4 linked regions of the Stegostoma tigrinum genome follow. The protein of the gene in region 1 interacts with the protein of each later gene in a pairwise test. Links are inferred from orthologs where the notes say so. Each region holds a gene or a part of one and is shown in the gene's direction. Other genes may lie near its edges.

What was found.
Region 2: the proteins of zgpat (region 1) and mipol1 interact in binary tests that used the Homo sapiens proteins (3 or more experiments, as listed by UniProt). The two-hybrid records come from large-scale screens. The link is inferred for Stegostoma tigrinum from reciprocal best matches to the Homo sapiens genes ZGPAT and MIPOL1.
Region 3: the proteins of zgpat (region 1) and cdr2a interact in binary tests that used the Homo sapiens proteins (3 or more experiments, as listed by UniProt). The two-hybrid records come from large-scale screens. The link is inferred for Stegostoma tigrinum from reciprocal best matches to the Homo sapiens genes ZGPAT and CDR2.
Region 4: the proteins of zgpat (region 1) and BEN domain-containing protein 5-like interact in binary tests that used the Homo sapiens proteins (3 or more experiments, as listed by UniProt). The two-hybrid records come from large-scale screens. The link is inferred for Stegostoma tigrinum from reciprocal best matches to the Homo sapiens genes ZGPAT and BEND5.

The regions. Positions count from the first base shown.
Region 1 is NC_081372.1:35,392,451-35,400,242, reverse strand, and holds the start of zgpat (zinc finger CCCH-type with G patch domain-containing protein), read left to right. Parts: upstream 1-4,507; 5' UTR 4,508-4,605; coding exon 4,606-5,150; intron 5,151-7,792. UniProt on the Homo sapiens protein: Transcription repressor that specifically binds the 5'-GGAG[GA]A[GA]A-3' consensus sequence. Represses transcription by recruiting the chromatin multiprotein complex NuRD to target promoters.
Region 2 is NC_081363.1:57,567,452-57,575,493, forward strand, and holds the start of mipol1 (mirror-image polydactyly gene 1 protein), read left to right. Parts: upstream 1-5,015; 5' UTR 5,016-5,504; intron 5,505-5,531; exon of another isoform or gene 5,532-5,666; intron 5,667-8,042.
Region 3 is NC_081376.1:34,248,146-34,255,861, reverse strand, and holds the start of cdr2a (cerebellar degeneration-related protein 2), read left to right. Parts: upstream 1-4,336; 5' UTR 4,337-4,514; coding exon 4,515-4,596; intron 4,597-7,716.
Region 4 is NC_081358.1:13,504,385-13,511,895, reverse strand, and holds the start of BEN domain-containing protein 5-like, read left to right. Parts: upstream 1-4,351; 5' UTR 4,352-4,533; coding exon 4,534-4,759; exon of another isoform or gene 4,760-4,820; intron 4,821-7,511. UniProt on the Homo sapiens protein: Acts as a transcriptional repressor.

The DNA.
Region 1 (7,792 bases):
TCACACAGGACTTATACAATTAAAGGTAGGGCCTCGCATTGTGCTTGAGAACAGATTGACCAAGGGGTTCAGGTATATAATTCTTTGAAATTTGAGTCACAGGTAGACAGGGTAGTTAAGGCATTTAGCTTGCCTTCATCGCTCAGCGTTTTTGAGTACAGGAGTTGGGACATCACATTGAGGATTTACAAAAATATGGTGAGGCATTTTTTGGGAGTATTGTGTACAGTTCTGGTCACCCTGTAATCAGAAGGATATTATTAAATTGGAGAGGATTCAGAAGAGATTTACCAGGATGTTGCCAGGAATGGAGGTTTTGAGTAATAAAAATAGGCTAGAAAGACTGGGACCTTTTTCCACTGGAACATAGGAGGTTGAAACCTGTACGTCAAATATTTAGCTAATGAGCATGATTTGGCTAACATCACAGGAAATCTAATTATCTTCCAAACTCTGCACCCATTTAAAGTAGGCACCATTTAATCTTGGTCAATACATGAGGAAGAACATAATAACACAGAAGGATGTTTTGAAACTGGTAAAGGTTCAGAAAGAGATTTACAAGAATGTTGCCATGGTTGAAGGGTTTGAGCCATAGAGAGAGGCTTAACAGGTTGGGGCCATTTCCCCTGGAACATTGGAGACTGAGGAATGACCTTATAAAAGGTTTATAAAACCAGAAGAGATGTTGATAGGGTGAATTGACAAGGGCCTTTCTCTGCAGTGAGGGAGTCTAAAACTAGAGGGCAGAGGTTTCAGGTGAGAGGGGAAAGATTTAAAAGGGACTTCAAGGGCAACTTTTTCACACAGAGGGTGTTGTGTGTATGCAATGAGCTGCCAGAGGAAGTGGTGGAGGCTGATACCTTTTTAAATGTTGTAATTGTATGCAGATGGGTAAACAGATGGGAAGGATTTAAGAAGGACGTGGGCCAAATACTAGCAAATGGGACTAGATTAATTTAGGATATCTGGTCAGCACAGAGGAGTTGGACCAAAGGGTCTGTTTTCAAGCTGTATTTCTCTATGACACACAAAATTACATCCCAAAGCTCCAAATAACTATAATCAATGCAGTGTCGAGCTGGAGGAACACAGAAGGTCAGGCAACATCAGAGGAGCTGGAAAGTCGACGTTTCGGGTTTACACCCTTCCTCAGGACTCCAGCATCTACAGTTCTTGCTATTCCAAATAGTGTACTATATGTTTTGTTTCACAGGAACACGATCCCAAAAAAAGAAACAGGACACTGTTATAAAGGTTTATATTATTCGTGTTTGGAAACGTAAGGCACTGTCGCTCATGAAATAATCTGTCAAGCTCTGGATTTAATGACAGCAACGAAGTATAAAACTTTTGAACATCCCTCATCGTCTCTTGTATGCTCTAGAACGATGGCTTTCAATTCAAGAGTCACCCTTTCGCGACCAATAACGCTTACTAAACGGAGCTCTTACCTTTAGACCTTTAAATCCATTTAAATCCTTCTGTTATGTACCAGGCTCCAAATTATGGAAACGACACAAAGCGGAAGTTTCGCCTGAACAAACCGGATCTTCGACCGCCCCTTAGGCATCGAAATGCTGTAGTTTTTCTGTCGCTTTGTTCTGAATGAGGGCGGGGGCATTAAAACGACAATACCCATAATCCTTCAGTGGCGGGTGGGCGGAAATGAGGTGGACATGCGCAGGGCGAGTCATCTGCCATTTTTAATTGTTAAAGGTTGCAACTGTTAAGTTCACCCCAGAAGTTGTCAGTTTATAGATTTTTAAATGACACTTTTCAGATTCATCTTGTGCGTGACATAATATCGTAAAATGCATATGCCCTGAAAACTACATTTGAAAAAATACAACTTCAGCGTAGGTCTGACATGGATATGTTTCCACATATGGGAGAGACCATAATTAGAGCTATAATCCCATCAGGGAAATGAAGAAAAATCCCGCTCCTGACGGCGGTTAGCACATGGAAATACTGACCGAAAAAATGTTTGAGGCAAATGCAGTAAACACATTTCAACAAAGGTTTGGTAAGTATTTGAGGGAAAAAATGAATAGAAAGTTGTGCTTTTAATGTGCATTGAGATGGTCGGAGCATGTACCTCTCGGGCTGAATGGCTTGATTGTGTACTCTGCAATTTATGCAATAATAAACTAAACAAAATGAATGGTCTATGTCTATTGAATATTTCTGCCTCAAGCTGCAGAGAATATCATTGTTACAATTTGGAATACATCACACAGATGGAGAATTTAAAAAGAAACTTCAAAATGCCATTGCACCCACTCTGGAAAAGGATGGATTGCATTTTAAAAGAGACTATCTTTAGTAGAACAATCAGCTGTAATACCATCCAAACATCAAGACTGCCAAAGGAACCTTGGAATACGTTCGTGGATTCCCGACAACTTCATCTTTACCGTCCTTTTAACATTTTTTTGGATGCTACTGCAAGTCAGCATATATATTTTGCAGGATTCAGAATGAGTTTTAGTTTTTCAATTAGTTTTATTATAAACTCAAGTATAAGCCTTGTTGGTTCAAGAAATCCATCTGGCTTAATTTTTCATATAGTTTTTACATACAGTCAAGCATATGCTGAATAGAAAAAGAATCTTTATAAATTCAAACTAATGAAACCAACCTCCGAGCTGAGAAGTGAGGAATTCACCTCTCGGGATTCAGTTTAACAGTGTACTCAGAAAATTCTAAAGTGCTTCATAACCAATTGTTGACTTTTGAAGATTAGAATTATTGGAAAGGTAAATACAATGATAACTCGTATACACTAAGATCTGATAGAAACAAACGAATGAATGGAGATAATCATTTGTGGTGGTGTTGTTCAAGTCTACAATGTTTGTCAGGGCAAAAGAAGGACCTTTGCTTTCCTTTGAGTAGTGCCCACCAGGGACCTTTGATGCCACCTGAGGAGACAGGTTTGGTTTAAAATGGCATCTGAGAAGGAAATGATATTGAACTATATAGGTTTTCAGTAATAAAGAAATGAAATAAAAGGGGTAATGTGGTTATGATATTAGACTCATAATCCAGAAAAATACTGAAAATCCCACCCATAATGACGATAAGTTAATTTAAATTTATTTTAAAAATTTTAGAAATAAAAAGCTGGCAGTAGTGAAAAGAATTATATAATCGGGAAACCAATCCCCCTGTGTGGCTTCCTCTACATTGGGGAAACCAAGCAGAGCCTTGGGGACCGCTTTGCAGAACACCTCCGCTCAGTCCGCAACAAACAACTGCACCTCCCAGTCGCAAACCATTTCCACTCCCCCTCCCATTCTTTAGATGACATGTCCATCATGGGCCTCCTGCAGTGCCACAATGATGCCACCCGAAGGTTGCAGGAACAGCAACTCATATTCCGCCTGGGAACCCTGCAGCCTAATGGTATCAATGTGGACTTCACCAGTTTCAAAATCTCACCTTCCCCCACCGCATCCCTAAACCAGCCCAGTTTGTCCCCTCCCCCCACTGCACCACACAACCAGCCCAGCTCTTCCCCTCCACCCACTGCATCCCAAAACCAGTCCAACCTGTTCTTCCTCTCACCCATCCCTTCCTCCCACCCCAAGCCACACCCCCATCTACCTACTAACCTCATCCCACCTCCTTGACCTGTCCGTCTTCCCTGGACTGACCTATCCCCTCCCTACCTCCCCACCAATACTCTCTCCACCTATCTTATTTTCTCTCCATCTTCGGTCCGCCCCCCCCCCCTCTCCCTATTTATTCCAGAACCCTCACCCCATCCCCCTCTCTGATGAAGGGTCTAGGCCCAAAACGTCAGCTTTTGTGCTCCTGAGATGCTGCTTGGCCTGCTGTGTTCATCTAGCCTCACATTTTATTATCTTGGATTCTCCAGCATCTGCGGTTCCCATTATCTCTGATATAATCGGGCTTATCTGTTTAAAGAACAGAAATCCTTCATGTTGTCCTAGCTGAACATTTATTCCTTGATTAAACAATTTTCAGTCACAAGTTTTTTTTAAATTTAGTCCCTTGGAAACAGATTAATTGATCAGTATTGCTGAAACACTAACTTCCAAACCATCAATTTGTTTGTTCCTTTCATTGATGCTCCACATTTTTCTGTTTTCCATTTGGAACACAGCTTTTATCTCTTGGCTGTTTGCGGTATCTTGCTGTGTTATTGCCTTGAAAACACGGCAGTGCACTTACAGAAAGTACTCAGTGATTAGTGTTTAGGGGTGTCCTGAGAACAGGAAAAATGCCGTTTAAACGAACTTTAGTTTATTTAATGAAATACGAGAGGGGGGGGTGTTAAAACAGAAAGTGGGCAGAAATTTAAGAAAAATAAAAGTAGATGACACCTAAAGTTTGCAAATAATGAAAATGATCCATGGAGGCTAAAAATGCAAGATTTTGGAACTAGAAGAGAGTGGGACTTATAATGTTCCCCATGTTCCCGGTTGCGAACTGAACTATTTTTCCAGCGTGAGCCCAGCCACAGGTCAGAGGTTGTTCACTGTCTTTTCCTTCCGGAGTTATTGTTCTCGTTGGCCATGGCGGCGGGAGCTGAACGATTCTGATCGCTGTCAGTGCGGCTCCGGAGCGCTGGTCATGGACGAGGCGAGTCTGGAGGCGGCCATCGAGGTGTACAAGGCCCAGCTGCAGCAGGTGGAGGCGGCGCTGGGAGCCGGGGCCCAAGCTGAGGCCGAGGCCCAGGCGGACCTGCTGCAGCTCCAGGCCGACCTACAGCAGCTGGTCGCCCTGACCGAGTCCAGCCTCCTGTCGGTCCGCAAGAGCCAGCTCCTGGAGCAGCTGCAGCGAGGCGCCTCGCCGCCGGAGCCCGAGGACCAGTCAGGGCTCGACGCCGAATACGCCGCTTTCCAGGCGGCTCTGAGGGAGGCCGACCAGGAGCCGGGGAGCGGCGATGAGGCTGAGACTAAGGTTGAGGCTGGGGATATTAGCGGCGCCAAGGTGCGGGCTCCGTACCGCTCGGCTTGGGGCCCGCTGCAGTATCACAACGCCATGGTGGTGGGTGTGGAGGCTGACCAGCCACCCGAGCCCACAGTCCGTGTCCTGTGGATCCACCCCACACAGAGAGCCATGAAGCCCTGCCCGTTCTACCTGAGTGGGAGCTGTCGCTTCCTGGACTCCTGCAGGTAATTCAGGAAGGGAAGGCTGAACTGAGAGAGAGAATAAACATGGAGTAACATCATCGAGGGAGTTCAAAACTAGGCTCCACGTACTCGTATATTCAACAAAGCATTCACGAGCAAATTACTAAGAAGTGATTTTACTATAACATAAGCAGAAATTGCTGGAGAAACTCAGCATACACATAGCATCAACAAAAACAAAGTTGCTGGAAAAGCTCAGCAGGTCTGGCAGCATCTGTGAAGGAGAAAACAAGAGTTAACGTTTCGTGTCCGGTGACCCTTCCCCTCAGCCAGACCTGCTGAGCTTTTCCAGCAACTTTGTTTTTGTTCCTGATTTACAGCATCCGCAGTTGTTTTCGGTTTTTATTATCTACAGTAGCATCTACGGAGGGATAACAGAATTATCGTTTCGAATCCAGTGACCTCTGCTTTCTCCACACATGCTGCTAGATATGCTGCTGAGTTTCTCCAGCAATTTTTGTTTTCATTTCAGATCTTGACATTGGCAGGTTTAATTTTAGAGTTTGTGTAATGTTTAACTCTATGAGGAGTAACTGAGACACGTAGTGTTAAAGAGATGTTACTTAAATATAGGCTAGTGCAGTGAGTATTGAAGGTATATTGATGTGATGCCATTAAGAAGGATGAGATGATGCTCATGTGGACTGCTACAGGCTAGTTGGCTAAATAGTCTGTTATTGTGCTAAAAATTCTGTGTAATGAATGGTTAGGTCAATCTGAAACCTCAAAGGCAGCAGAACTGTGCACACTAAGAAATGCACAGTTTACAGTCGTATATCTATTTAAATATGGAATTGTCTTAGTTTTCTTTTTGAGTGGCCACAAATCCAAAAATGATTTTCCTATAATTCAGTCTCATTCTCAGCATGAGAACTGCGGTGCTGCAAGGATCAGTGCTTGGATCCCAGCTATTCACAGTCCCCATCCATGATTTGGATGTAAGGACCGAATTTAATATTTCCAAGTTTATTCATGAAACTGGATTAGTTGGGAATGTGAGTTGTGAGGAGGATAAATAGAGGCTTCAAGAGTATTTAGATAGGCTGAAAGCGCATGGTACGTGGAATATCATCTGGAAAAATAGAAGGACAAAATATTTCTTACGTGGTGAGAGTGAGATGTGTTGATGTTCAAATAGATCTCGGTAACCTTGATTGAATGTCACTGAAGGTTAATGTGCAGGGTCACTTGGCAATTGGGAGTGCTGATATGTTGTTTCACCAGGATTTTACAGGAGTAAAAGTGTCATACTGCAGTTACATAGAGCCTTGGTGAGACCACACCTTTAATATTGTGTACAGTTTTATTTCCTTTTCTAAGCAATGATATACTTGTCATTGAAGTATTACAGCAAATGTTCACTAGACTGATTCCTTGGTTGGCAGAATTCCTTACTTAGGAGGAGAGATTGAGGCGACCAGACCTATATTTTAGTTGATCACATTGAAGTACACAAAATATTTACAAGACGTGACAGGTTGATGCAGGAAGGATATTTCCTTGCCTGGGACAATGTAGAACGAGGGGACAGTCTCAAAATAAGAGGTTGTCCATTTGGTACTAAGATGATGTTTTTCATTCAGGTTGGTGAATTCTTTTTTCATCAGAGACCTATAGAGGCTTGGTCATTGATCATATTCAAGGCAAAGAATGATAGATTTCTAGATATAAACTATATATCAAGGGGCACTTGGATAATGTGGGAAAATGGCGTTGAGGCAGAAGGTCAGCAATGATCTAATTGTATAGTGGAACAGGCTTGAAGAGTCAGGTCAATGCAGAAAATATGTAGTGGCAGAGGGTGATTGCATCTTCCCTAATCACAAGAAAACACAGTAATGTGGTGACCGATCAGTGAAAAGTTGTTTCCGTAAATAGATCGGAAGAAAATGGTGAGGAGCTTCTCTCATTACAGGCTGGCTGTCTTGTGCATGCAACTGATAGGCACACTCCTGTTAGCAAGTACAGCCGTGAGAAAGCTGCAAAGGGGTGGGAGACACAATAGGGCAGTGAGATCTACACAGGTGCCTGGGGAAGATGAGGATTGCAAGTGGATTAGAGGTAGAAGGGGTAGAGCTGTGCAAGGGGACTGAGTAGGTGGGAAGCTGGTGCTAGGGGTTTAGGTAGGAAAGGGATGTTCTGTGGTGATTAGGAGAGGCCAGAGGTATCTGAAAGAGCATCAGGTAGGTGGGAGTGACAGGGAGGAAGCAAGTGTTGTGAAGACAGCAGGTCAGTAACAAGGAAAATCACAAAATAATAAAACACTTGTAAATGAATATGAAATTCCTTTGCTTAATGCTGCATTTGTTCAGGACATATGTGAAGATTGCAGCAGATGTTGTGGTGATGAGTGCTGTTGTTAAACTAAAACCTGAGATGAAGTAAGTAGGGTTAGTCACTGCCTGGTTGAAATATTCCAGCTTTGAATATGTGATAAATACACATTAGCTGCAACTTCACTATTCTGGAGGATCAGTTTAAATTGAAGGCTTTTTCTGTGTAGAAGTGTGTTGGTTATTTTGATTTGAAAAAAGAGTTGCTAACTTTTGCCATTGGGCAGTTTAAATACTGTAAAATTTACACTTTTCCATGTCTGTTGTAGCTTTAATGGAAAGTTGATAATA
Region 2 (8,042 bases), on another chromosome or scaffold:
AGCAAGAGGACTATACATGCTGTCTGCTGAGATAAATGCTTAAGTGCTTACAGCTTTCCAAGCACCCAAAGAGAACCTGGGGGTCAAACGAAGACTCAGTTCAGAAGATCTTTATCAGCCTGCTCCAATATTCAACATGATCAAGATTGATCCTCTATCTCAACGCCATACTTCTGCTCTCTCTCATATATCTTGACACCTTCAGCTTTCAGAAAACTACCATTTATTTCTTAATTATATTCAGTGGCTTTGCCTCCACAGCCCTCCTCACCATTTGAGTGAAGAAACGTCTCACCTCAGTCCAATATGGTCCACTGCGTATCCTGAGAGTATGATCCCATTTTGGATCCCCCAGGCAGGGCAAAAAGCATATCTCCATCCAGTCTATTCAGCCTGTTAGCACTTTGTAAATTTGAATATATCCCCTCCCATACTTGCCAACTGCAATAAGAACATGCGCAATTTGGCCAGTCCCTCATCATATGACAAACCTGCCATCCCAGATCAATGAAACTTCATTACAATTCTCAAGACGATAAGAAATGCTTGCCATTTGGCCATCTCCATCATTCAGCAGGATCATAGCTAATTTGACACACATGTCCACTTTCCTGCTTTTCCCCCAGGAATATTGATTCCCCAACAAATCATAAGGCAAGCTAAGCCTTAAATATAAACAACGACTCTGCACCTGCAGCTCTCTGAGATGAGTTCCAAAGACACTTAACATTGAGGAAATTCCCCCTCATTTCAGCCTTAAGTTGGTGCCCCTTTATTCTGAGATTATGCCCTCTGATCCTCAACTCTCCCATGAGGGTAACATCCTCAGAATTTACCATCAAGTGATGAGATCGCCTCTCATTCTTCTAAATTCCAGTAAGTCATCTACCAACTGGTTTAGCTTTTCCTCCTAAGACAATGCATCCATTCCAGGAATAATTCTGGGGAACATCTGACCTGCTGCTAATGATGTTATGTATTTTCTTTAATGAACAAAACTGCTCATAGTACTGTAAATGTGGTCTCACCAGCACCTTGTACAGCTGCAATAGGATTTGTCTACTTTACACTCCAAACCCTTTGAAATAAGGGCCAACATTCCATTAACCTTTCTGATCACCTGCTGCATATGCAGCTTTCCGTGTTTCATGCAGAAGTTCTCCAAAATCCCTTTGTTTTGCAGCATTCTACAATTTTTCTCTATTTAAATAATACTTTTGTTCTCCCTTTGGAAATAAACAACTTCACATTTTCCCACATTACATTCCATTTGGCAACATTTTGCCCACTCACTTAACTGATCAATATTGTTCTGTAAACTATTTTCATTGCTCTTTCAACTTGTCTTTCCACCTATTTTTGAGTCATTTGCAAATTTGGCTTCCATACAAATGCTTCCTTACTCCAAGTTATTAATATAACAATTGATATCCTAGCACTAATTCCCGTGGAACCACACTGATTACAGGTTGCTCCCTGAAGGAGAGGCCCTTATTGCTGTTTGCTGCCATCAACCAATTCTCCATCCATGCCAATATACTACTATTAACACTGAGGATTCTTAACATTTGATTTAACCTTTTGAGAGGTCCCTTGTCAAACTCCTTCTGGATGTCCATACACCACATTGACTGGGTCTCCTCTGGTTCAGACTTCGTCAAAAAACTAATACATTAGAATAGACATGGTTTCCCTTTCATGAAACCATGCGGATTTGGCTCAATGAAATTAGGATTTTCAAAATGTGCTGCTATTGCTTCCTCAATAATTTATTCCAAATTTTTCCAACTATAAATGTTGGGCAAATTGACCTAGAGTTACCCACTTTTGCATCTCTTCCATTTTGAATATGGGTGTCACCTTAGCAATTTTCCAGTCCTTCGGCACATCTCCAAAATCAAAGGAATTTTGGAAAATTACATCACTATCTCTGCAGCTACATTTTCTAGGAATTTGAGAATGCAAAGCATCATGATCAGGGACTGATCTGCCTTTAGCCACATTCGTTTGTCTGATATTACTTCTCTAGTGATGAGAATAAATATATCTTTTCTTCCCTTAGGGACAGCAAAGCTAATGACAGTACTCTAGGCACGGTCTCAACAAGGCCCAACACAGCTGCTGTAAGATATCCTTACTCCTCAGTTCAAACCCTCCAACAAGAAGGGCAATCATATAATTTGCCTTTCTAACTACCTACTATATTCGCTTGCTTGTTTTCAGTGGCCACATGTACAGTTTTTTTTAGCTTCATGGAAGTCTTTGACTCAATCAATCATGATGGCTTATGTGTATCCTTCTAGAATTTGGGTTCCCTCAAATTTGTCAACATCCTCTGCATGCTGTATGGCATGCAAGCCAGAAATGGAAGCCAGTAAAGGAAAGCACATATACTACACATCAGAAGAAATAATAGATAGCACACCTATTCCATTAATGTTACTGAAATTGCTCGCAATTAAATGAAATTTGGAACTCTGAACAAACCTGATATTTAGCATGTGCAATATCATAGAAACTAGACTTCTTTCATTTTAGCAACTTGCCATTCCCTGCTCACGATGTGGTCTATTGTATCCTGGCAAAACTAAATACGGATTATAGGGTCAAAGAGTTATACAGCATTGAAACAGACTCTTCGGTAACTTGTCCGCACCAACCAGATATCTGAAACTGGTCTAGTCCCATCTGCCATTATTTGACCCATATTCCTCTAAACTCTTCCTATTCATGCATGCATCTACGTGACTTTTAAATGTTGTAACAAACCTGCCTCCACCACCTCCTCCTCCTCCTCCTCTGGCAGCTCATTCCAAGCATTGCACCACTGTCCCCATGAAAAAGTTGCCCCTCAGGTCCCTTTTAAATCGTTTCCCTCTCATATTAAGCCTATGCCCTCTGGTTTTAGACTCCCTTTCCTGTGAACAAACCTTGGCTATTCATCCTATCCATACCTCTCATTGATTTTCTAAACATCTATAAAGTCACCCCTTAGTCTCCTATAATCCAGGAAAGCAATGGCTCCCACTTAAACTCAAACAGTCTAATCCTGACAACAGCCTTGTATGTCTTTTCTGAGCCCTTTCAAGTTTAACAGCATGTTTCCTTTGGCAGGGAGATCAGAACAGAAGGCGATATTTTAAAAGTGGCCTCAACAACATGACATCCCAATTCCTACTCAAAGTTCTGACCAATGAAGGAAAACCTGCCCAATGCCTTCGTTTTGTGGGATATCCCCTGCAGCCCTCAAACGTGTCCCTGAAATTCAATCTGTCAACCATTTTAATTCTCTATTCACAACCATCTTGACATCTATTCTGTTCAAGTGAAGTGCATTTTCAATTGGTGTTTACAGAACAACGTCTTTTGTTTAGGTACTTTATAGCTTTCTGAAATTAACATGAGTTTAACTATTTTAAACCATAACCCTACCTTCATTTTTAGTAAGACATCAGTTGAAATTAATTTTGCAATCGTCATTTACACCCATAAACACATTTTTCTTCCTTTGTTTACTCTATCTCCATGTTCATTTTTCCTCACATCATTCCTTCTCAGCATTTCATTTTTGATTTTTCTTTCGCAGTACTTCCTTATTGTCTGTCACTCCTCATTTTTTCCTCAAAAAGTGTCCGTTCTGATGAAGGCTCATAACAAACACTACCTGTTTGTTTCTAGTGATGCGGGAAGGTCTGTTTTATATTTATAGCAAGGTGTAGAGCTGGATGAACACAGCAGGCCAAGGAGCATCAGAGAAGCAGAAAGGCTGATGTTTCAGGCCTAGACCCATCTTTAGCATTTTTTGCTTTTCATTTCAGATATCTAGCAACTACAGGAACAAAAACAAAGTTGCTGGAAAAGTTCAGCACATCTGGCAGCATCTGTGGAGAAGAAAACCAGGCTTAATGTTTCAGGTCTGGTGACCCTTCCTTAGAACTGATGGTGGCTGGGAAAACATCAGTTTATATGCAGAAAATAGGGAGGTGGGTGGGGTAAGGAGTAAACGATGGGATAGAGCCCAAAGGGAGAGAAACACATGTGGACAGACAAAGGAGCTGCTAATGATCAGGTTGGGAGGGCGAGTACTTGTTAATGGGAACTGTTAGTGACTAACCACAGTGGATGTGTAATGGCAGGCTATGTGGTAACAAGGCCTGGTGTGTGGGGTGGGGGGGTCTGGGACATGAGAGAGTTTAGGCCCTAAAATTATTGAACTCAATATTGAGTCCAGAGGGTTGTAGGGTCCCCAAGCAGCAAATGAGGTGTCGTTCTTCCAGCTTGCATTGGGGTTCACTGGAACACTGTAGCAAGCCGGAGTCAGAGATGTTGGCCAGGGAGCAGGGTGATGCATTAAAGTGGCAAGCAACAAGTAGCTCAGGGTCTTTTGTGCGAGCAGAATGTAGATGTTTTGAGATAAGGTCGCCAAGTCTACACTTAGTTTTCCCACAAGTCTACACTTAGTTTTCCCCATGTAGAGGAGATCACATTGTGAGCAGTGAATTCAGTAGACTAGATTCCTGGAAGTGCAGGTCAAGTGTTACCCGTTGCCTGCCACTTCAATGCACCACCCTACTCCCTGGCCAACATCTCTGTCTCCGGCTTGCTACAGTGTTCCAGTGAAGCCCAACGCAAACTGGAGGAACGACACCTCATTTGCCGCTTGGGAACCCTATACAGCCCTCTGGACTCGATATCGAGTTCAATAATTTTAGGGCCTAAACTCTCCCACGTCCCAGCACCCAGGCCCACACACCAGGCCTTGTTCCCACATCGCCTGCCACTGCACACCCCCTGTTGTTAGTCATTAACAGTTCCCATTAACAACTAATCACCCTCCCAGCCTGATCATTAGCAACTCCTTTGTCTGTCCAAATGCGTTTCTCTCTCTCCGTGCTCTATCCTATCGTTTACTCCCTATTTTCTCCATATAAAGTCATGTTTTCCAGCCACCATCCGGTCTAAGGAAGGATGGTGGGACTTCAGACGTTAACACTGGTCCCCCCACCCCCCCCCAAACACAGATGCTACCAGACGTGCTGAGCTTTTCCATCAGCTTTGCTTTTGTTCCTGATTGACAGCATCTGCAGTTTTTTTGGTTTTAAATCCAGCAACAAGTTTAATTAACTTTTACACTGGCTGCTCTGACTTGTATTATTTGAAAAACAAGCCGCACACTAGCAAAAACGTAACTCGTCTTTTCTTTCGTTTCAGATACTAACTGACCTGTTGTACTTTCTGCCTACACTGTTCAATTTACAGATGACCGTAATAATCTGTGGTGGCGGCCGCAACCAGAAAGCACGGCGTGTTCAGTTTCCAGGAAAAATTAAATTAAGTTTGCACGGCGATAGAAAGTGTCAGCACAAACTTTCGATGAAATGAGACTCGTCGCTTCTCATTTGTCAAGCAGTGGATGACAAACAACTGCAATATTGTCTGTGACGACGAACAAACAGTATACGCCGCCCTAAACAAGGAACACGATTGTTCCAGAAAGCTGGCAGGTGACGATTTCTCGTGACCCGGAAGCGTTGTGTACCGTCGCTCGAGACCGTATTCGAATGCTAGACGGTTAGCATAGCCTGTTGATACTGCGAGCAGAGGGGATTTGGAGCAGGACTGCTGCGGTAGTGATGAGCTGCAACCAATATAAGTTAATCTACAGGGTCAGACAGGTTTTTTTTCGCTGCAAAGTTTCGTGTTTGCGATAAGTAAATGACAGCGAGTTTGGATTTATGGCGTTATTTAGTTGGGCAGGGTGGGTTGGTGGATGGCGAGAGAGATGGAATTTTGTGTTGTCTGTTCGTAATGGTAGCTCTCTATGCCTTGCCTTCAAAATCAGGGTAGTTGTAATCCTGTATCATTGGTGCCCTCGATGAGAAAACTAAACGATTTTACAAATAAATTAATTCGGAGGTCCGGAACACTTTGCTCGCTGTAACAATACTTAAACATAGTATACAGCGATAGCAAACATTTGCTTGTTGCAATTGACATATTGGGGTGGGCAGAATGATAGATGCCTGGTTGGTTTTCTCCTTTAATCCTACAGTTGTTAAACAAAGTTAATGATGTAACATTGTATGAATATGTGGATTTTGTTCTGGTCTAACTTAACAACAACATTGATTTGAGTTAGGCCATCTGTGCAATATTGTTCAGCTTGGTAAACATCTTGTATTAATTGGATCATGAATGGTTTGCTAGTTTGTTTGCTTTTTTGGACTGTTGTATTTAAGGTATTTTTGTTTTGGAAATATTTCCATTATGGGTATTGGAATGGCAGATTGCTTTGGTTCAAAACAATTAATATTGTGACATTTTTAAAACCCTTCAGTACTTATAGTTCATCAATTGTTGAACCAGTGAAGTTTTGTACAGTTGTCTAACTTTTTTCAAAAGCTTTCTGCTAAAATTGAACTTTAATGTTTGTTTTTGCATGAATATTAGCCATAGGATCGAACAATGTGGAAACAGGCCCTTTTGGCCCAACAAGTCCACACTGAACCTCAGTGCATCCCACCAGACCCATTTCTTTCTCTTCCTTCCCCTGTGTGCCCTCCAACCCACCTAAGCTACACATCCCTGAACGCTAGGTATTTTAGCATAGCCAATCCACCTAACCTGCACATCTTTGGACTGTGGGAGGAAACTGGAGCACCCAGAGGAAACCCACACTGAGAATGTGCAAATTCCACATGGACACCCGAGGCTAGAATCAAACCTGGGTACCCAGTGCTGTGAGGCAGCAGTGCTAACCACTGAGCCACCATGCTGCCCATATTAATTGAGGCAATTTTTTTGGAGCCATTAGAAGTCATTGCATTTGGCAAATATATCACTGACTTACTCAATGACTTAAAATAGCAAAAAATGCAATTGATTTCAAAGTGTAGAACAGCACAGTACAGGCCCTTCAACCCTTGATGTTGTGCTGACCTGCCATACCAATCTGCAATCTGAAGTCCAGGTGCTTGTCCAATGATGACTTAAAGTTGGTGAATCTACTACTGTTGCAGGCAAAGCATTCTATACCCTTCCCCTTACTGAATAAGGAAACTACCTCTGACATCGGTCCTATTATCTTTCACCCCTCAATTTAAAGCTAAGCCCCCTTGTGCTTGCTGTCACCATCTGGGGGAAAAAGGCTCTCCCTATCTAACCCTCTGATTATCTTGTGTCTCAATTAAGTCACCTCTCAACCGTCTCTCTAATGAAAACAGCCTCCAGTCCCTCAGCCTTTCCTCGTAAGACCTTCCCTTGATACCAGGTAACATCCTAGTAAATCTCCTCTGTACCCTTTCCAAAGCTTCCATATCCTCCTCATAATGCGGTGACCAGAACTGTACGCAATACTACAAGTGTGGCCACACCAGAGTTTTGTACAGCTGCAGCATAAAAACCACTTTTGTGGTGTTCTGGCAATGTATTCCATTCTGGCACAATATCATTCTAGTTCAGTCATATTTTGTGAAGTCTTGCCATAACTCCTTCCTTTGTACTCTGCCATGTTTCAGAACTGTATCCTTTTTGTGTATGCTCTTTCCTCAGTCTTCCTATCAAAACTGACTACTTAGCTCACATCAAATTTTATTTGCTACTTGTTTTTTCATTGCACAAGCCTGTCTTTTGTAATGTATCCTTGCTGTTCAATACTTGAAAGATTTTTACTGCTGCATATTTTAAAATTGTACTTTGCACATCTAGGTTATTAACATTGTTCATCAAAAAACAAGTTTCCATTACCAACCTCTGATGAAACCCTGGGGAGGCAGCCATGTCATGTCTGTTAGTAGAACCCCCAGAATCCAAAGCTAATGCTTTTAAGTACATGCATTTAAATGGCAAAATTGGAATTCAATTTAAAAACAACTGAAACTAGGAGTTAGCCTCATGGCAGCCACAGTTGATTGTCGTAAATCTATCTGGTTTTTTAGTATCCTTAAGGAAAAGAAATCTGCTGTCCTTAGCTGAACTTGGTTGCATGTGATTTCAGATTCACAGCAATGTGGCTGACTTTTAACTACCTAAGATGATCCTAG
Region 3 (7,716 bases), on another chromosome or scaffold:
ATGTGAACTCTACTAGCTTCAAAATCTCCCCACTCCGGCCTCATCCCAAGATCAACCCTCTCCCTCATCCCCACCTTCTTGACCTGTCCATCTTCTCTCCCACCAATCCATTCATCCCACCTCACTGACCACTCCCCACCACTATCTACCTGCTATCACCATTCCACCTACCTTCCCCAGGCAATCCCCCACCTATTTATTTCAGAGCCATCTTCCCCTCCTCCAGTTCTGAAGAAGGGTCCTGATCTGAAATGTCTGCTTTCCTGCTCCTCTGATGCTGCCTGGCCTGCTGTGTTCCTGCAGCTCCTCACTGTGTTATCTCTGACTCCAGCATCGGCAGTTCTTACTATCTCTGAGTGGGTTATCATTGTCTGAATCAGATGGTTGCAGGTTCAAGTCCTGCCTATGCACAGAATTAATATTGATGTTCCCAGGGCAGTATTGAAGAAGAGCTGCACTTTTCGATAAGATGATAAACCACAGCCCTGCCTTCCTTTTCTGGTGGATGTAACTGACTCCATGATGCCACTTGAAAATAAGCAGGACAGTTTGTCATAGTCAATATCCATTCCACAACTAGCATAATTAAAAGTACTCATGGTCGGTAATATAGTTGTTTTTGAGAGAGTTTGTGCAATTGACTACTGTGTTTGCCTAATTAACAACAGTGGTAGCATTTAAAGGCAGTTGGTTGGCTATGGATAGCTTTGGAATGTTCTGGTGATGTAAAGGGTGCTATATAAGTGTAAAGTTCTGTAAAGGTTCAGGAGCACTTTAGCTTTAATCCACTGAGCTATCAGTAGAGATTGATCATGCTTAAAACTAAGTCTAAGCATGGGATAAACTAGTTCATTGCTTTGTGGCTTTGAAGAAGACAATTCACTGTCTTGCAGATATTATGACTATTTTGTTTCATTTTTCAATTCACTTTTCTTTTGCTCCTGGGGTACCAGTGCTTCCATAGTCATCCACATCAGCGCTACTGATAAAACTCAGTAGTGTACTGTGAATTAAAGAAAGCTAAAATGAATGAAAACTACTTGTAGTCTCGTTCAATGATAATTCAACAGAAAGCAGGGGTTGAGTTGGGTGCGGGTGGAGAGAAAGATTGACTGAATAACATTGTGAAGCCGTCTGTGGGGGAATAGGATCTCATATTCATAGCAAGACACAAGGTCAAAGTCCAGTGAAACTAGGCTGACAGTATTAGGACAAATGAAAATTTCTAGAAAATGCTGCAAATATAAAACAGGTCAGTTGGTATCCGAAAGAAGACAAGCTATGGTTTCTTGTGGTACTTGATTTCAGAGCTAGGATGCTCTGGCATGGATTGGTATTACACAAATTGGGGGCCAAGGGATATATTCTTCATATTAAAAGATGCAAGTTTGAGAGGATGAATAAAGGGACTGGACATATTGTTTTGTTAACACCCAGATATTAATGCATTCTGGTTACAATCAACAGTAAATTGTGTAAAATGTTGCAGAATTTAAAGCATGACTTTATTTATGCTTGGGTTACAATGTATGTTTGTTGCTATGTTAAAAAGAAAATTGATTAAAATAATTCTATGGCTTGGGTCTCACTGCTCCCTTGTAAAGTTTAAGATGCCAACCTGCACACTGTGCAAATAAATGCTGCTCCATTTCTTGTCAATGGATGATGATTTTGACATTAGTGAATGTGGAAACGATGAGTAACTCTACACAGATTCACTTATTCTAGCCAAACTAACTAAGCAGAGTGAAATATTTCATTCAAGCAGGAAATTATAACATCGCCAAGGTTAATACTCCTACTTTTCAGGCACTAGGAGACAGAACTGTGTGATTCAAAACTCAAAACATTAATAATGATCCTGATATCCCATGCAAAAAAATATAAATACCATAATGTTTAAAATCTTAATGCTGTGTACTCTTTTGGCAACTTTTTCTATTGTAAGTTCCTTTGACCACTTGTTCAAAGAGAAATGCTCATGTTTAAAAATGCAAGGCTCCAGTTAAACCTGACATCACAGGCAGGTGGGTATCATCAGGTCATAGAGATGTACAGCACAGAAACAGGCCCTTCAGTGCAACTCGTTAAAGCTAACCAGATATCTTAAATTAATGGAGTCCCATTTGCCAGCATTTGGCCCAATTCCCTCTAAACCCTTCCTCTTCCTTTACCCATTCAGATGCCTTTTAAATATAGTAATTGGACCAGCCTCCACCACTTCTTCTGGCAGTTATTTCCATGCACAGAAACAGACCCTTCCTTGCACACACCACCCTCTGCATGAAAGAGTTGCCCCTTAGGTCCCTTTAAATTTTTCCCTCTCACTTAAACCTATGCTCTCTAGTTTTGAACTCCCCTAACCTGGGGAAAAGACCTTAAATGTTCATCTTATCCATGCTCCTCATGATTTTATAAATTTCTTGTTGTCACTCCTTAGCCTCCGACTCCAGGGAAAATAGTCCCAGCCCATTCAGGCCCTACCATTCAGGCCCTACCTACAGCTCAAACCCTCCTACCCTGACAACTTCCCTGTAAATCTTTCTGAACCCTTTCAAATTTCACAGCATGTTTCCTATTGCAGGGAGACCAGAATTGAATGCACTATTCCAAATATGGCCTAACTAATGTCGTTCACTGTAGAACATGACTGTCCAACTCCTATACCTAATGCACTGACCAATAAAGGAAAGTGTACCAAATGCCTTCCTCACTACTCTGTCTACCTCATTCAGCAACAATCTCCAGGACCTTACCATTATGTGTTTCAAGTCCAGCCATGATTTGCCATACAAAAATGTAGTACCTCACATTCCAGTGTGACGAGTTTCTGTAGGTACCAGTATGGTTTTGATGATATTGGCTGAGCAATTACATTGGGGGTGAGATTGGGGAGACTGAAGAGGATATAGGGTGGGAATCCTTTCTGTTTTTCATCAAAAGATGGCATTGGGAATTTTGCACCAATTTGAGAAAGTAGGTAAGGCTGTGATTTAATGTCCTGTCTGAAGAAGGGTCCTGACCCAAAATGTCAACTTTCCTGTTCCTCTGCTGCTGCCTGGCCTGCTGCGTCCTTCCAGTTCCACACTGTGTGGTGTCTGACTCCAGCGTCTGCAGTTCTTGCTATCTCTAAGTAGCAGCCTTGTTGCCTTACCAGACCTTGACATATACAAAGTCAACTCATACTCTGGAGTGGGACTTGAAAAGTCTTAGAAGAAGGAGTGCTACCCACTAAGCAATGTCTGTTTCCCAAGCACTGGTTAAAAAAACCCTTGAATCCAATCTAGCAAATGCATAATCAGCACCCCATCCTCCACTTAAACATTCACTTCGAACACTTTCAGCTCACTGCGGTGAGGTATGCCGCAGTGATACATGCAGCCAACCACACAGTCTCATTTGACAGTGCCTTCTGACCTGTGACCTCTACCATCTACAGAGAAAAGGGCAACAAAGGTACACGGGTACAGCATCATCTGTAAATTCCTTCCAATCAACATTACCCTGATTTTAAAATATTATCATTCCCTCTGTCGCTGGGTCAAAATCTTGGAACTCCCTTCAGAACAGCCCTTGGGTGTAGCTACACTAATTGGACAGCAGTGGTTCAAGAAGGCATCTTCTTGGAGATAAGGGTTTCAAGGTCAAACGCTGACCTAGTCAGTGACGTCCTGAAATGAATTTTTAAAGAGGATATAGGGTGGGAATCCTTTCTGCTTTTCATCAAAAGATGGCCTTGGGAATTTTGCACCAATTTGAGAAAGTAGGTAAGGCTGTGATTTAATGTCCTGTCTGAAGAAGGGTCCAAGACATCAACCAACACCACAACAGCTGGATCCATGATTATACGGCTCCACCACAATGAAATAATTAACAACGTTAGTGTAGGATCTAATAAAAGCAAAAATAGAAATTGCTGGAGAAACTCAGCATGTCTGGCAGCAACTGTGGAGCGAAAGCAAAGTCCCAGTGCCCCTTCGTTGAAGGTTCTGAAGAATGTCTGCTTTTGTTTCAGATTTTTAGCGTCTGCAGTTCTTTATTTTATTCTAATAAAATCAAAATACTGCAAATGCTGGAGATCTGAAAAAAAAACACAGAAAATGCTGGAGATACCCAGCAAGTCTGGCAGCATCTGTGGCCACTGAAGCAAGGTTAATGTTTCCAGTTTCAGGATGAACGCGCGGCTGGGTCTGGCTGAAGATCTTGAATCAGATTCACGCTTTCCAAAAAAGGGCACTACCGGTCACGGTGGCAGTGCGGACGCAGTGATTGGTTGTCATTTGAATTGTTACAATGAAAGGGGCGGGGCCCTGGTGGCCGGGCGGAATCCCCGCGTTTGTAGTGCATTAGGAGCTGGCTTATAGGCACATAGTGCCACGTTGCGTTAGTTTTATAGAGGCATGGAATAAATGTTATGAATGTCCAAGCTCATCAGCAGCCGCAGCCGGGGTACAGTTACGTTATTGAGCTTTTTTCCAAGCCGGTACTTTTCTTCCTAACAAAAAAAAAGCAAGATGTTAACTGACAGCATAATAGAGGATTTTGAACGCCGGGAGGAGGAACCGTGGTACCAGCAACAGCAGAATATGGAGCACGGTGAGTTTAAAGTTTAAAGGCGCTTCTCCAGGTTGGAGTTGGTTGACAAGCACCAAGAAAATAGATTGCACGCTGCCAGTTTTATCCTTGCCTTGCTGGTAGATACAGCTGATGAGGGAGATCTGAAATGAAAAACAAAATAATGGAACCAGACATCATCTGGAGAGAAAGAAGCGCTCAATGCTATAAATTTGTGACCTTGCATCGGCACTGTTCTTAAGAATCTTTCTCCTTTAATCTGTGTCTAGCCTGAACCGGGACGGAGGGAAATAATAGCGCTGTTCCCACCCAGTTGACTCGGCTTTTGTGAAAGAGACGAGCACAATGTCTGTGTTTCTTATTCGCAAAGGCCAAGTAAGTTGTTTGTTAATTACAGCCTGTGAACATTGATAAAGGTGTTATTTCCTGAGCAGTGGAGTTTACCGCAGTCGACGTGTGCAGAGCATCAGGAGGCCATTCGGCCAACCGTGTCTTTACTGGCTCTTCTTGAGATATCCATCGAGTTCCCTTCTCATTCACCACAGCTCCCATTCGAAATTTATTTTGAAAATAAATTTTACTTGTACGTTTGCGAGACAAACACCATATCTGGCGAATTTCGTTTCAGACTGCTGTAGAGGCCGGGGTGGGGATTGGTTAGTGGCTCTGTCGCCGGGAGTCCGGCATTGACCTCAGTGTTTGGCGTGGCCTGGCTATCCCGCAGATCTCCGGCCCCTTTCCCGCTTCCCTTGCTGTGTCTGTGTCTGTGGCTGTCTCTGTTTCTGCCTCCGTCTCCTTGTGTGGTGTGTCTCTCTCTCTCTTACACAGCGCGCCTTTTCTCAGTGGCTTGCCCTGGCGAGAGCTGTCGCCATAGAAACCTTGTCCTAGTGAGAGGCTGATCTGCTCTAATCGAAAACCATCCCTTCCCTCCCTCCCCTGGAGCTTTATCTGAATCCCAACCCGTTATTTAACGAGGAAAAGTTGGCTTCCGCTTGGATTAAGAGAACTGGCAGTTTGCCTCCAACTGGACTCTGAGGTGGGAGTTCAGGCTGGCGGAGAGGCTACTTGGCCCCTCGCTTCTGTGCTGGCTCTTTGTAAGAACAAGTTGTGTCACTCCCATGTTCCCTTCATAACCTTACACGTTTCTCCCTTTCCGGAATTTCAAATTGCCCTTCTAGAGTAGAATCTCCTTTTGTTTCTGCTTCGGGGGGGACGGGACACAGAGCTGCTTTGTTAATTATCCTAAAACTGCCCTTTACTAATCGGCCCTCTTGCCACTAGAAATCATCTCTCCTTTTATTTACTCCATCAAATCTCCTCCTCATTATCAGGAAAATCCTCTTAAGCCTCCTCTTCACCTTTGTGCAGAAAGTAGAAACCTTACAATATCTAGACGGGTTTATCACGAGTGTTTTGACAATGCTAAGCCGCTACACAAATCTGAACCTGCCTCTTTGGGATATTTCGAACGGAAACACTTGATACTTGGAAGATATGGACAACGATTTAAGTATGTTTCATGCTGTAATATCTACATGCGCCTTGGGAGTAATATAGTACTAACAACGAGGGGCATCTCTGGATGTGTCCACTGCTCATAATCTGTTGTTCAGGCTGTGTCCTTCCGTTTAACTGATTTTTGTCCATCCATCCATCCAAAGATTGTGACTTTAGACCCCCTCCTCGGAACTCCCGGTGACATGGTTTATCATTAAAAATGAACTTGGCTGATGGGAATTAGTCCACCAGGCTGGTGAGAAATTGAGGTCCTCATATGGACAAGCTGTGGGGTAGGGCCAGCCCATCATTTGGAGTGGGTCCCAGGCTGATATTTGCCTAACTTGCTTTCCCCAGTGTCTCAGAGACAATATGGAAACAAATGTGTTTTTTACTTGCTCTGGAATACACACAGAAACTCATTTAAAGATGTCATAAAAGACTTTTGAGAGATTGGAATTGGAAGGACAGCTTCAGTTCCAACTAGGACACAGCATTAAAATCTGCTGAATAATAAGAAAAAGATGCTCTTTGAAGCACTCAGCAGTATTATCAACATGGGTTCCCATTTTCTTTGTTGCATCCTCCTATTGAATCAGACAATGAAATGAGATTAAATCAGGAGACTCCACGGTCTAAAGGAAATCAAGGACTCTTCACTGTAGACGTCCAAGCAACAATCAGGCAAAACAATTAAAAAGCCATTGAAAAACTGGCAATATGTGATGCTAACAGAGGAATATAGAATTTTTGTTTTGTGGGGTGGGGTTAAACTAGCTGCACAAAGCCAGGCCACATTTGTTTCCTAAATTTATGGTGATCCTGATACAGCAGTTTACAAACCCTCCAAGAAAATCATTTTTAAGTGGTAATCTGGTTGAGTCAGTGGGCAGGACCAACAGTCTCTGATTCTGTCTTTTTGTATCTTAGATCAGCCAAAAGCACTGGCTAAAATTCAAGTGAAATGTATGTGGAGTAATGTTGTAAGAGACTGGGAGTTGTAATTTACCCTGCATTTAACTTAATTTTGTTTGTGTGCTGTTACTGAACGATGTTTGAAACACTCACCACATCAGACAATATTAGAGAAATGAGAGTTAAATTTCACGTCTTGCAGTTTCTCCACAGATGCTGCATGGCACTTCCAGCGTGCTCTGTTTCTCTTTCAGGCTTATCATATTTTTGTTTTTGTTTTGCCCTTTTACCAACCTTTTCTCTAGTGACCTGATTGCCTGTCTGCCTTCAGTGCTGTAGTTATTGGATTCACTGTCCCATGCTGTTGAAATCAATATTTTTGCCAATCCTGACTGCTTCTGTCGCATGCTTTATACTTTTGTGGTTTAAATATGCCACTAAAAGGAAATAAAATCGCATTTATGTTGTGCCTTTCTTGAACTATCTCAGTTTTTAAGCAACGAATGATGTAGTTTTGAAGTTGTAGGGAATCTACGTACAGCGTAGGTCTTGAACAACACCTCAACGTATGATTGCCATCTTGCTTTCCTTTTAGTGGTGTTGGTTGAGGGATAACCATCTAACCTGCTTTTCGTTGAATAATTCTATGCAATCTTTTCCAGCTGCTTGAGAGAGGGAGAAAGGCACTTTGGTTTATTGTCTCACCCAAAAGTCAGGGCCTGAGATAGT
Region 4 (7,511 bases), on another chromosome or scaffold:
ATAATATGTACAAATCAATAATTTAAATTTCATCACGTTTCTAAGTACACAAATATTATAGAGGACTATGCACCCTAAGGCCACAGAGGGAGATAGTAGGTCAGGTGACCGAAAGCATTGCCAAATATCAGAGATAATGGGAACTGCAGATACTGGAGAATCCAAGATAACAAAGTGTGAAGCTGGATGAACACAGCAGGCCAAGCAGCATCTCAGGAGCACAAAAACTGACGTTTCGGGCCTAGACCCTTGATCAGAGAGGCTATTGCCAAATAGGTGGGTTTACAGGAATATCTTAACGGAGGAAAGCAAACCTGAGACGTTCAGGGTGGGAATTCCAGACTGTTGAGCCACCAATGGTGAAGCAGTGCATAAACATATTATTGGAGTCTTAAACTAAATGAGTTGTCCAAGTCTTGAAGGTTGTACGGTGTGGGGAGGTCAGGATGATCACAGCCAGGAATTAAGTCAATGGTAAGAATTTTAAAATGTTTTTGTTTATAGATTGTAATCTTTGTAGGTCAGGGAGCACAGGAGTGATGGTATTTATCTTGGTACAATTGAGCATGTGGATAGCAGAGTTTTAGATACTCAGCTAACAAAGGAATGGATGTCAGTTTCAGCAGCAGAGGATCTGAGTCTCGGGTGGATAGGGTGATGTTCCCGAGGTGGAAATAGCTGGCTGGTGTGTGAATGGGTTCATGCTATCATCTCAACTAAACATCAGTGAGTTCACACCAGGAGAAACCATTAACTTGTGCCAAGCATGGGAAGAGATTCATTCACAGTTGGGACACCTGTGATTTGTTAATTCTTTGAAGTTTGTATCACATATATAGATAGTGTGGTTAAGACAGCATTTAGTGCACTTACCTTCATCGCTCAGTCTTTTCAGTATAGGACTTGGGATGTTACATTGAGGTCATACAGGACATTGGTGCGGCCTCTTCTGGAATACTGTCTCCAATTCTGATCGCTCAGTTATAGGAAGATTATTATTAAACTGGACAGGATTCAGAAGATATTTACCAGGATGTTGCTGGGAATGGATTATAAGGAGAGGTTGGTACGCTAGGACTTCTTTCACTGTAGTGTAGGAGGTTGAGGGGTGACCATACAGATGTTTATAAAATCGTGAGGGGTATAGGTAAGGTGAATGGCAAGTATCTTTTCCCTAGAGTGGGGGATTTCAAGGCTAGAGGACATATTTTTGAGGTGACAGGAGAAACATTTTAAAAAGACACAAGGGACAATTTTTTCTACACAGTGTGGTTTGTGTGTAAAACATAGAACATTACAACACAGAATAGGTCCTTTGGCTTTCCAGAGGAAGTGGTGAATGCGGGTACAGCCTTGGTTCAAACATGGACAAAGGTGCTGAATTCTAGAGGTGAGAATGACAGCCCTTTACATCAAGGCTGCATTCAGCTGACTGTACCATCAAGCAGCCCTAGCAAAACTGGAATCACTGGGTATCAGAGTCAAAAATCACTGGTGGTTGGAGTCAAAACTGATACGTAGAAAGACGTTCATGGTTGTTGGAAATTAGTCATCTCAGCTCCAGGGAGGAGCTCTGTAGGAGTTTCTCAGGATAGCATCCTAGGCCCAACTATCTTCAGCTACTTTCAAGTCAGAAGTGGGGATGTTCACTGATGATTGCCCAATGTTCAGCACCATTCGAAACTCCTTGGATACTGATGTAATTCATATCCAAAAATTATGAAAGGTATGGATAGGGCAGATACTCAGTTTCTTTCCCAGGGTGGAAATGTTAAATATGAAGGGTTATAAATTTAAAGTTAGAGAGGAAATGTTTTAGGGACGTCTGTCAAGAATGCTTTTTTTTTTAAAACAGAGGATGTAGGTGCCTGGAATGCACAGTGAGGGGAGGTTGTAGAGCCAGATACATCAGCCAAGTTTAACAGGCATTTAGACAGACACACAAACAGGTAGGAGTAGAGGGGTATGAACCATATACAGCCAAATGAGATTAGTTTAGAATAGCAAAATAGTTGCTGTAGACATGGTGGGCCAAAAGAGCTGTTCCTGACTTGTAATGTTCTACATTCTATCTGCTATGATGAAATTCAAACCCTTATCCCCAGAACATTAGTCTAAGTCTCTTGGTTTCTTGTCCAGTGGCCTTGTGGGTCAGCCCACAGCAGTTCAAGGCAGCAGCTCACCCCCTCCTTCTCCAGGGCAACAAATGCTGGCTAGCCAGTGATATCTACATCCCATAAGTGGAAAAAAAAAACCACAATGCTACCACCTCTACAAGTTGGTGTCATAATATCATTGTAAACAATGAAAAGATCCAATATTCTTTTTGTTTTTGGCTGAATTTTCCATATCACAATCCTTACTTCAGATTGATGTAAAAAAAACCTAGCTACGGTAGAAAATTTGTCTGAGGATAGCACTTTTTTAGTGGAAGTTTTGTAACAACATTAAGCTTCGAATTTGGGAAAATTTCCACAAAACTAGTTTGATGACTCTGCATCTGACATCCCACAGATTCATTAAAAATGTACCTTGTTGATCATTTGTTTGTTATCTGCCTTATTGACCATTATAATTTTGGGCTTGGAATCTTATTATCTTTGTAAAATGCTTTGCGTTATTCTTCCTTATGAAGGGCTCTTTATCCGACATGGTTACCAGGAGGTAAGTTAAGCTGCCCTTGCCAAGAGTTTGCACGGACTTGAGAAGGCCAAATAGCTTCCTATATTCCTAGTGCAGTAATATACTAGCTTCACACATCACTTCTGAGCATATTTATGATTCAATTGTTGCATTGCCCCATAAAAAAGTTAACCGTACTCTGCATCTGGATCAAACTGAAAAACACGATTCAACAAACTACCTGGTAAGAGTCTGCAGTTTAAGCTGCAAGGCACTGAAGCACGATTGATGTGCACACAGGACTGACAGAGGATCACTGTTTTAAAGGATAAAGCATGTTCACTTCCTGCTCATGAGAAGCACCATTTGTGGTATTTTTGGCACCTAATAAATTTTAATTGGCATTTGGTGTAGCAAGCTCCTGCATTGTTTATGTGCATAACAATTTATAATAACATACAAAAATCAAGTGCATACAACATAATTCACTCACTTTATAGTTTTCCAAACAAAAGGAAAAAAACAAGAAACTGAGTGGACCTGGCTGGGACCCACTCTGGAATTCCTCCCAGAATAATATCCTGAAAGTGTCAAACATTAAACGTCAAAATTTACTCTGTCATATGCACTGTTTTGTTGTCGAAGTAGAGTCTTATAGGTGCCCTGCAGTAATCATCCAGATTTCAATAACATTATCCAAACCTGTGACTTTAACTGCTCAAAAAGGCAGTAGACACTTTGGAACATAACCACCTAAAAGCTGTTTTGAGATAGTAGGAACTGCAGCTGCTGGAGAATCTGAGATAACAAGGTGTAGAGCTGAAAGAACACAGCAGGCCAAGCAGCATCAGAGGAGCAGGAAGGCTGACGTTTCAGGCCTGGACCTAAGTTTCCTCAATTCGTACCATCGTAACTTCCAAATACGTTACTGTTCGCTCAATGCCATCAAAATTCTTATACGCTTCACCACCTTTTAAGAGAAATATTAGGAGGAGAATAATTAACACATGGCCCAAAATTTTTAAAAACATCTGTACTTCCGCAGCACAAATCTGACCCTAATGCATGACATTAACTTGTGAAGGGCTGTAAAGCTAGGAGATTACAGATTTTAAGACATCATAATTCTTGTAGTTCGGGAAAGGGAACATCTCAGATTTATAAGTACGTGTGCTCTTCCGACAAGATAGAAAACGCTGGCTTTCGGCTGCAGTCATGTGTGAATTCCCAAAATAAAAATGCAAATTATCCAATGTTAATTATCGTCATCTCAATGAGTCCAAAAAATTACAAAAAACTTTTTTTCCAAACTACCGTATACATTTATGCCATGCGCATTAAAAGTTTTCTTCGTAACAGTATTTGTCTTGGATATTCGCTGTGTTTCGAGCGATGTGCTCGGTAAAGTTTGCATTATTTCGTGAATCTTATTTATAGTTCTCTTAACCTTTGGTCTGGTGCATGCGCTTTTTACCTCATCCTACGGTGAGTCTTGTCCAACATGTGAAACAACCCTATTCTGCAAAATATTATAATAATCAAGACAGTAAACGGGTACGCTGCGACAAATTGCATATATATCAAACGCGGAATGTTTGGAGCGTTATTCACTGCCCACCGGGTCGGCTGTACACAACGCAGAGCCTGGAATCAGTGAGAGCACGTTTGCCCTGGGGTACAGTCCGAGTCTACCTCCTGCTGCTGGCGCCGGTGCGCCTCTGTCGGTGACGTCAGGCGCAGCCAGCTGCTGGAGGGGGTGGTGGTTCGCGGTGGAGCCTGCGATCCGGATTGTGTTCCTCTCCGCTCTACTGGGAGCCAGTCTGCTGAGGGGAAGGAGAAGGAAAAGGTGGCGGCGGCGGCAGCAGCAGCAGTTGCTGCTGATACTGTTATTGGCGGCGCCCTTCAACAAACATGTTCGCCTGCGTACGCTTCCTGCAGGACCAAGTGCATCATATTATACCCGTGTCCCACATTAAAAATTTCCACCCCACATCCAAGTGCGACTTCAACAAGAAACAAGTTTATCGACTGTCGCTGCCGGGAGTAGGACCTGGACCGGCTCCGGCAGGAGAGGCGGAAACAGGCACCGTTACTAAGGGGGGTCACTGCCGGAAGGCCCAGATTCTCGCTCTGGGAGGTAGGTACGAACCCAGGCCGGAAACGAGGAGGGGAGGGAAACGTGGGATTGTTTAGTGTTACCCAACCGGCTCGGCTGTGAACGAAAGACCAATGAGAGATGGGAGTGTTCCACCCTCCAAAAAAACACAATTGGTTGAAACGTATTTCCCCAACCCCCAAATGCTCCTGTTGCTGTGCAGGAGGGGTGAGTTTTCGACCAACCCTGATGGGCAGCAATTATTCATTGTTTTCGTTCAGGTAACCGCTTGCATTGGTGTATTCAAACTCTTGCATCTCCCAGCCCCTTTATTGTTCGTTTCAGTGCAATGGAAAAGCTAAATTTGAATTTCTATTGTTATTTTTTCCCCTTTCAGCACATAATAATTACTTACAACAGGATACACCACTGCCTGTGAGACTACAGTTTCATCGGTCTTGCAGTTAATATGAATAGATATTGCTCATTTTTAAGTTAAGACTTCGTAAGAGAAATGCTTGAAAATATTGTAGTTTGAAGAAGGGATAGTGGAACTGCCGATGCTGGAGTCTTAGATAACAAGGTGTGGAGCTGGAGGAACGCAGCAGGCCAGGCAGCATCGGGGGGCAGAATAAAGCTTGCTGAGGCACCAGTGTGGAGAAACAAAAATACTTCTAAATTGCTGTTTAAGGCGCACAGCTGACTTTGCAACATGCATGAATAAATGTACCACTAAAAATTGGCTTTGCTGTCTTCCTACATCTGTCTTGGATAGAAGAAAACTACACAGGATGGTAGAGGTCTGAAATAAAAATAGAAAATGCTGGAAAAACTGTTGGTGGCTCAGAGGTTAGCACTGTTGCCTCACAGTGCCAGGAACCCAGATTTGATTCCAGCCTTGGGTGACTGTCTGTGTGGAGATTGCACGTTCTCCCTGTGTCTGCATAGGTTTCCTCCCACTGTCCAAAGAATATGCAAGTTAGGTGGATTGATTTTGCTAAATTGCCCATAGTGTCTAGGCTGAGAAATGCAGGGGTGTGGTAAGGGGTGAGTCTGGGTGGAATGCTGTGCAAAAAGTTGGTGTAGACTTAATGGGCCGAATGGCCTGCTCCTACGCTGTAGGGATTCTATGATTCTAACTCTGGTATAGCAGCACCTGTGAAGAGACAAGAGTTTATGTTTCAAATCCATTGTGACCATAACCACCTTTCCAAACACTAGTCTTCACAACGGTTCTGAAGAAGAGCTGTAATGGCTTCAAAATGTTAACTCTGTTTTTCACTCCATGGACGCTCCCAGGCCTGCTGAATTTCTTCGCTTCTTGGTTTTATCTCTCTTATTTCATAGTGTTACTTCATGAACAAATACTTTTAAGATTTTTATATGTGTTGCAGGCCCACTTAGTAGCTTGTCAGACGTATTGTGACCAGCTGATTCTCCCCAGCAGGTGGAAGTAAAGATCTAGTTACAGTGGGGATAATTGGATCTGTCCTGATATCATGCAAGACATGCATCCTTGATGAAAACAAAATACTATGAAAGTTCAGAAATCTGAAAGAAAAATATAAAATGTTGGTAGTTACTCAGTTGGCCAGATAGTACCTGTGGAGGGAAATTTATATTCAGTGTGTGTAAAGATGGAAGATTTGGACATGGTTCTTAATACATTTTATCTGTCTTCATAAAAGGTGGAGGCAATTTAAATATAATAGTTGATTTGGACTATGGAATGTGAGTATAGACCCAGCAAGGGCGGAAATGCTGAAAGGTTTAACATCTTTGCAAGTGCATAAATCACCAGCCTCAAAAGAAATGTGCCAAACTTAAAAGGAAAGTAGAAAGACTAACAATTGTTGCTAAGTTTCCAGTGGCAATGAATGTAACTATCTCCGTTTTTCATAAATTCTTTCACATATCCATTGCTGAACAGAATAACCTGAAAGGCTCAGGCTCTTCCATGATCAGAGGTCCAACCAATCCCTAACCTCTACCCGGTGAACCTGTACTTGTCATAATCAGCCGATTCTTTAATTTGCTTACTTAGAGCCATAGGGTCATACAGCATGGGAACAGAGCCTTTGGCCCAATTTGTCCACACTGACCAGAGATCCCAATCTCACCTAGCCTCATTTGCCGCCATTTTGCCTACTTCTGTAAATACTTCCAGTCATATCCATCCAGATGCCTTTTAAGTCTCCACCATTTCCTCTGGCAGCTCTTTCCATACACTCACCACTTTCTGCGTGGAAAAAGTTACTCTTCAGGTCCTTTTAAATCTTTTCCCTCTTACGTTAAACTTTTGCCCTCTAGTTTTGGAAGCCCCCACCCAATGAAAAGGACCTTGGCTAGTTACCCTGATAACAAAGTCTGAAGCTGGATGAACACAGCAGGCCAAGCAGCATCTCAGGAGTACAAAAGCTAACGTTTCGGGCCTAGACCCTTCATCAGAGGGGGGGATGGGGTGAGGGTTCTGGAATAAATAGGGAGAGAGGGGGAGGCAGACCGAAGATGGAGAGAAAAGAAGATAGGTAGAGAGGAGAGTATAGGTGATGAGGTAGGGAGGGGATAGGTCAGTCCAGGGAAGACGGACAGGTCAAGGAGGCGGGATGAGGTGGTAGGTGGGAAATGGAGGTGCAGCTTGAGGTGGGGGGAAGGGATGGGTGAGAGGAAGAACAGATTAGGGAAGCGGAGACAGGCTGGGCTGGTTTTGGGATGCAGTGGGGGGAGTGGACGAGCTGGGCTGGTTTTGTGATGCAGTGGGGGGAGGGGAAGAACTGGGCTGGTTTTGGGATGC